Linked DNA regions of Saccharomyces cerevisiae S288C. The protein of the gene in region 1 purifies or fractionates together with the protein of each later gene. This does not show direct contact. Each region holds a gene or a part of one and is shown on either strand. Other genes may lie near its edges.

Region 1 (4,652 bases):
TGCAATTGCAAATCTACAACTCTTTGAAAAAGATGTTCTCATTGCCTCGTGCCATTTTTCCCCACTTGATTGTAAGAAATTACTTGTAACAAATACGGCAGGCGAAGCAGCTACCATTGATATAAGAACACTATCTGTACAGTTCACGGCATCAGCAATCGCGCAGGCTTACTCAAAACTAGATAAAATAGATTACGAAGTTCAAGGTGCAACCGAAAAAGTCATTCATGTTGAATCGGGACAATTTTTGAAACCCCATGAACTCGAGTGTTGGACTGCGGAATTTGGATCTCTACAGCCTTTTCAAGACGTTGTATTTACAGGAGGTGATGATTCGAGAATTATGGCCCACGACTTACGTTCCAAAGAATTCATTTGGAGTAATAATCGTATTCATGATGCTGGTGTTGTTAGCATTAAGTGTAGTCAACCTAACTTTCGAAATAATAAACCCACGTCCATAATAACTGGATCCTATGATGATAACATTCGTTCTCTGGATTTAAGGATGATGGGTGAGTCCATATTTCCTGGTGCAAATGTCCCCACAGTTAATAAATTGGCGTGTGATCTTGGTGGCGGTGTTTGGAGATTTGTTGAATCCCCCATTGATCAGGAACAATCTCACCACAACGGCTCCGATCGGCTTTTAGTTTGTTGCATGTACAATGGTGCCAAGGTGGTGACCATGAATGATAATTCCGATGAGTATTTTCAAATTCAACATTATCTGAAGAAGGGCCATGATTCGATGTGTTACGGTGGCGACTGGTCAAATTCTTTGATCGCAACATGCTCATTTTATGATAATTCCTTGCAAACATGGATAGTTTAGAAAAAAAAATTCAGTCTGCAATATATGGACTAATATATAGGCTAATATATAGGCTAATATATAGGCTAATATATAGGCCATATTTTGATGATTTCGATAGATTATGCATAAAGAATTGATAGGAAGGAACTTGCCTGAACAATAATCTTTTACTCTATATTTTCTACTTATTATACATGATTCAGAAGCTTTGTTGAAAGGGGGAAAGACCGAGCGATATAAAATTGATGAAAAATTGATATTACAGCATCAATTGACATCAATCATTAAATCATCATTAGCTTCCTGTGGATCAACAAACTCCCTGCTGGCTCCTGCCAATAGTTCTCTTCTAATCTCAGGACCGATATCTTTATGGCCTCTTTGACGAACAGTTTCCAACAAGAAATCTCTCTGATCCTGGGTAATATCGTTCTTGTAACGTTGTGCAAATGTTAAGAAAGCCTTGTGCCATATCACTGGGAGTACTCTTGTAGCATCTTCCCCATTACTACCGTCATCCAAAATTCTAAACCTCATAAAGTAATACACGCAGTCGTCCACCGTCTGGTACGGTAAAGCATATTTTTTATCGAGCAATATTTTGATAAAAACAGTTGTAGGTGGAGAGAAAGGTAGCCTTAAAAGATAACTCAAGGCAGCTGAAGAATGTAAAGCCGGAACAGAGACTTTAGCAAGCACACTTCCTGCAATTGTCGCTTCACGTACATTACACCCTGTTTCAACCAATGGGAATAGGAAACCTTTGAAGAAGGCACTTGGTTTATAAAGCGATTTTTTCACCGCACGGTATATATGATAGTTTAAAGAGTGGTCTTCACTGGTCTCGATATTGTCACGGAAACGTTCAAGTAAAATTAGGTTAATAAATTTTTGAGATTCTTTAGCAGTTAGGTTGGATACAAATAATTTCGTTGCTTCGTAAACAACGTGTGGTGACCATTCTTCCGGGTTGGTCACATAAATGACATCTTGCCAATTTCTTAAGGATGGGATAACCTTGAACAACTTTGGCAACTTACCGTGCGTCCAAGTTTTTAAAATACTACCTACCGTAGTATATGCTTTGATGACCTTCTCTGGAAGTGCAACACCCTCTCCACTCTTCAAACCGGATGAAATATTGCCTCTTGAGGTATTCTGTTCATTAGCAAGTGGTTCATCATCTTGCATATCTTCAACTTGACTTTCCTTTTCTCGGATAGAGGCCATAATCTTGTCTGCAAGATTATAGCTACCACTTAAAGAGTTAAAATCATCTGATTTCTTGAAATATTGCTCAAACATCGCTGCGTCTTCTTCATCGATTTCAACTATCTCTTCCTCTTCTTTATAATCACCTTCGGGTTCAAAATCGGAGATGTCTTCTCCAAAAGCTTCTTCGTCTTCGTCTTCGTCTTCGTCTTCATCATCATAGCTCATGGTGGTGAATCTGGCTTCAAATTGCTTGTTTCTTTCTGATTCAGCAAGTTCCTCACCTTCAATTTCATCCTGTTGTTCCTTGGCCAACTGCAAAATTTTTCTTGATGCTTTGGAGTCTATGTATCCATCTTCCTCATTTGCAGCATCGTGATTTGCAGCATCGTTCTGCGCTAGCTTCTTTTTATTGATTTTTTTCAAGGTACCTTGAGCTGCATCTAAATCCTTTAAAAGTGGATCATGCCTCTGTTTTCTGGCTTTAGTAGAGGATGCTCTGGCCATTATAGTTAATCTTTCTAATATATTGTTTTATCTGTAAGTCTTAAAACGAGACAAATCTTGGATTTAAAACAACTTAGTGCATATTTCCTTTCGTCAATGTTGAAGAAGTGGGAGCTCATCGATTTTTAAAAATTTTCATTTCCGATGCCTCGCTAAAAAAAAAAAATGAAAAAGTGGAAAAATATGTTCTATTTCTTCCCCTACTGACACCACCAATAATACAACCATATAAGTTGGTACAATTTCTCCAAGCTGTACATCCTCTTGTGTTGTGAAATGTCTGATTTAACATCTATCATTATTGCGTATATAGACTGAGTCAAGATTATAAAGTATACATATCCAACCACATTACTCTTCATCCATTCTAACCTTTAATCCGTGCTCTAGTAAATACTCCTTTACATCGTTAACAGTGAATTCACCTCTGTGGAACATACCTGCACCCAAGCAAGCATCTGCGCGGGTCTTTAGGAAGGCCTCTTCGAAATGTTCGGGTACACCGGCGCCACTGGATGCAATGACGGGAATCTTGACCGCATCTTTAACATGTTCTATCAATTCCAGATCATAACCAGAATTAGAGCCATCCTTGTCTATGCAGTTCAATAAAATCTCCCCAGCACCTAGAGCTTCACATGCCCTTGTTAATTCCCACACACCAAGGTCTCTAGATTCTCTTCCACCTTTGATTGTACATTGGTACCAGCAGTATTTCTCTCCATTGGGGCCCGGATATTCTGTCTCGAAGACTTTGTTCTTCGTATCTGCTTGTGAATTTACATATACTCTCTTAGGGTCGACAGAAATAACAACTGCCTGAGCACCGTATGCTTTCGAGATTGTCTCTATTGGTGACGTTCCATCTCCTCTGTTACCCAACTCGTAGTATTTTTCGGCTGCATAGACTGCATCCGTACCGATCGATACTTTATCAGCACCAGATCTGAAGTATAGACTTGCAACTTCTAAAGCAGGTATTTTGGTTCCATCAACATCGACAATATCCTTGATCCCCCCACCGACTGTCAATGGAACAAAGACTGTCTTTGCGGCTTGTTTCAGAACCTCTAGCATCGGAGTATCCTTCAAAGGACAATCTCTAAAAGAAGTTATATTCAAAAATGTTACTTCATCCGCACCCTGTTGGTAATATTTCTGTGCCAACTGAACAGGCTTACCAAGGTTTCTAACACCTTTACCATCACTTTTTTCACGTACATCGTATTGATCACCTTTAGTAACCACCAAATCACCTTGGTCATTAGTACGTACATCAAGACAAGCAATAATTCTGCGTGTTAGACCATAATTTGAATAGTCATTCATTAAGAGTTCCTTCTCTTCCGCACTATAGTTTGGAATCGGAGGACTTTGTTGCTTCAAAAAATTCTCAATGACGTTCAAACCAGCTTTACCTGATTTTTCAGGATGGAACTGAGTAGCGAATATATTATTCTTGTTGACTGCCGCAATAAATTCCTCTGAACCGTACTTAGCTTTTGCAATTTTCCAACCGTCATTTTCTAGGTTTTTTTTCTTTTCTGAATTCAGAATGGCAGCAAAAGAATGGACGAAATAGTACCTCTTGTATGGATCCAATCCAAAGAATAGGTTTTCCGAGGGAATGCAAGAATTCCAACCTATTTCTGGTACTGGCTTTTCTGAATCATCGAACCTGGACAACTTAAAATCAATGTAGTTCAGACCCGTACTCTTAGGGCTTTCCACGGAACCGGCAAAGAGCGCTTGTAGCCCGACGCAAATTCCCATTATTGGTTTTCCAGATTCAATGTATTCTCTTATCGGCTTTTCGAATCCTCTATTAAATAAATTGTCGACGAAATGGCCATAATTTCCGACACCAGGCAAAATCAATCTTGACGTGCCTGATATGTTAAAATCCTTTGGTGATTTCACCAGTTGTACTTCGTAACCTAAATGCTCAATTGCATTGGTTAGTGACTGTAGGTTACCACTTTCAACGTCAATCACGTGAACGACCGGCATTCTCTTTTTCTTTACTTGTAAATAATTAAAAAACCTAAACTGGATACTGCTACTTCAATAGCTGCCTCTTTTCTTTTAAAACCTGATTGAGTAGTCGTCGATATCA
Region 2 (3,084 bases), on another chromosome or scaffold:
AAGCAGAAATAACACCAATTCCTTTGTTAAAGTGGAGTTTCATACCGATGACGAGCCGACAATGCCCATCTCAATCGATAAGGGTACAAGGATTTCTGCCACTGAAGCATCCACTAAGAGTTCTCAAGGGAATGGATTCAACCCAATATGGGATGCTGAAGTTTCTATCACATTGAAAGATACAGACCTCACATTTATAAAATTCATGGTTATCTCTGAAGAGACCCAGATTGCATCTGTTTGCCTTAAGCTGAACTATTTGAGGATGGGATATCGTCACATTCCGTTGTTTAACATGGAGGGGGAACAATACATATTTTGCACTTTATTTATTCATACACAAATTTTATAGGCGATCTTTTTCCGGCCAAATACACATATTCATAAATACGTACATATACCTACTTGCATATACCAACATGATTACCTAGAATGGATATATCAAATGGGACGACGAAGTACCACGACAATACACAATAACAACTTCTGTTTTTCGCTGATTGCCTTCTCTTCAGCAGAAAGTTGATGCATATTTCGCGTAGCGCGTTGACGCGTCTTCTTTCTGAAGTTTTGTGCTTTTGTTATCATACTATATAAAGTAAAAAGAAAGGAGAACATATTAAGCATTACTGAATTAGGATCCTTTGGAAGAAATAAAGTAAGAGACACTGAAAGATGATATCACCATCAAAAAAGAGAACCATTTTATCAAGCAAGAATATAAACCAAAAACCACGAGCAGTGGTAAAAGGCAATGAACTTCGTTCACCATCAAAGAGAAGGTCACAAATAGACACAGACTATGCACTAAGGCGAAGTCCAATAAAGACAATCCAAATTTCTAAAGCTGCACAATTTATGCTGTATGAGGAAACGGCTGAAGAAAGAAACATAGCTGTCCACAGACATAATGAAATATACAATAATAACAATTCTGTGAGCAATGAGAATAATCCTTCCCAAGTAAAAGAAAACCTTTCACCCGCTAAAATTTGCCCTTATGAAAGAGCATTTTTAAGGGAAGGAGGAAGAATTGCATTGAAGGACTTAAGTGTTGACGAATTCAAAGGTTACATACAGGATCCTCTCACCGATGAGACTATACCACTGACGTTGCCACTGGGTGATAAAAAAATCAGCCTACCCAGTTTTATAACGCCGCCAAGAAATTCGAAGATATCTATTTTCTTCACTAGTAAACACCAAGGACAGAACCCAGAGACAAAGATATCCCGTTCTACCGATGACGTCAGTGAAAAAAAAGTAGTGAGAAAACTGTCCTTCCACGTCTATGAAGATGAGTAAATAATGTACACAGTTAGCGTCTAATAATTAATTAACGATACCAATTTAATTCATTCACGTATTCCTCACCTCGTGTGTAAATTACTAACAGAGTAGTAATAATAATAAGAATCAATAATAATAATAAATCCATCCTTGTGTATTACCCGGGTTAGAGGGTAGAAAAATTTTTGAAAATCGCGATGAGCTGAAAATTGAAAATATTTGGTTATAACATAAGATCGATAAATTAGGAACAGTGCATTATACAGTGGACTCATTCGGTTAGAAGCTTTAGACGTCGTACCTTTTATATCGATACAAATAAAAATAAAATTATACCATGGGAAAGGCTGCGAAAAAGAAGTACTCCGGAGCAACTTCGTCCAAACAAGTCTCTGCCGAGAAACATTTGAGTTCAGTATTTAAATTCAACACAGATCTAGGTCAGCATATTTTGAAAAATCCTTTGGTGGCGCAAGGTATTGTTGATAAGGCACAGATTAGACCCTCAGATGTTGTTTTGGAGGTTGGTCCTGGTACAGGTAACCTAACTGTAAGGATCCTCGAACAAGCAAAAAACGTAGTGGCAGTAGAAATGGATCCCAGAATGGCTGCAGAATTAACTAAGAGGGTACGTGGCACACCTGTGGAGAAAAAGTTAGAAATCATGCTTGGAGATTTTATGAAGACTGAATTACCATACTTTGATATCTGTATTAGTAACACTCCTTACCAGATCTCATCGCCTCTGGTTTTCAAATTAATTAACCAACCAAGACCACCAAGAGTATCTATTCTTATGTTTCAAAGAGAGTTTGCTTTAAGATTACTGGCAAGACCAGGTGACTCATTATACTGTAGATTATCCGCCAATGTACAAATGTGGGCTAATGTTACACACATCATGAAAGTGGGTAAGAATAACTTCAGACCGCCACCACAAGTGGAATCCAGCGTTGTTAGACTAGAGATTAAAAATCCAAGACCGCAAGTGGATTACAACGAATGGGATGGTTTGTTGAGAATCGTCTTTGTGAGGAAAAACAGAACGATTTCAGCTGGCTTCAAATCGACCACCGTGATGGACATTCTGGAGAAGAATTATAAGACATTTTTGGCGATGAACAACGAAATGGTGGATGATACAAAGGGTTCTATGCACGATGTCGTCAAGGAAAAGATTGACACAGTTCTGAAGGAGACCGACTTAGGCGACAAAAGAGCGGGTAAATGTGATCAAAATGATTTCCTAAGGCTATTATATGCTTTTCACCAGGTTGGTATCCATTTTTCATGAGCTCTCTTATCAATTATGTAAGTGCTTGTATACTATTTACCTAAGATAAGAAAAAAAAAAGCAATTCAAAATTAAGCTTATCTTGACAGCGGGGCTGGTTTGTTTCTAGAAGACAAAAAGTGGGGAATCATTTTTACGTAACTCCCCCTGATAAGAAGGACTCACATCCTTATAGGTACGATAAAGAATGGTTGTATCTTTCCTATTTTTCGAAATCGTTATCTTATATAGTTGAACTACTACGGTTAAAAAGCTTAAGCCTCAGCCCTCTTAGTCAAACTTCTTTTTTGAAGGCACCAGGGTGCATAAAAGTGCGTCTATTGTTTCCCAGTGGAACTCTGTTGAGATAGCGATGTTTGTTTTTTTTTCACTTAACGGCAACCAATACCGATAGCGACGTCGCTGGCAGTGTAGAGTGGCCGTACGGCGTCGCTAGATGGCACGGCACTGATTGCGGCGGGAGTCGCTAGGCGGTGATGCATTTCCGCACAGGGACCAGA

The links. Proteins that work in one complex are often made in the same cells at the same time.
Region 2: the proteins of ENP1 (region 1) and DIM1 purify together in Saccharomyces cerevisiae (affinity purification with mass spectrometry; 11 studies listed by BioGRID, with this or other methods). This does not show direct contact.

What each region holds. Positions count from the first base shown.
Region 1 is NC_001134.8:711,920-716,571, forward strand, and holds ENP1 (snoRNA-binding rRNA-processing protein ENP1), read right to left. Parts: upstream 2,537-4,652; coding exon 1,085-2,536; downstream 1-1,084. Other genes in the region: RRT2 (diphthamide synthase), read left to right, coding at 1-835; HIS7 (imidazoleglycerol-phosphate synthase), read right to left, coding at 2,888-4,546. UniProt on the Saccharomyces cerevisiae protein: Required for normal export of the pre-40S particles from the nucleus to the cytoplasm.
Region 2 is NC_001148.4:37,494-40,577, forward strand, and holds DIM1 (putative dimethyladenosine transferase), read left to right. Parts: upstream 1-1,627; coding exon 1,628-2,584; downstream 2,585-3,084. Other genes in the region: PLC1 (phosphatidylinositol phospholipase C), read left to right, coding at 1-352; ACM1 (Acm1p), read left to right, coding at 676-1,305. UniProt on the Saccharomyces cerevisiae protein: Specifically dimethylates two adjacent adenosines in the loop of a conserved hairpin near the 3'-end of 18S rRNA in the 40S particle.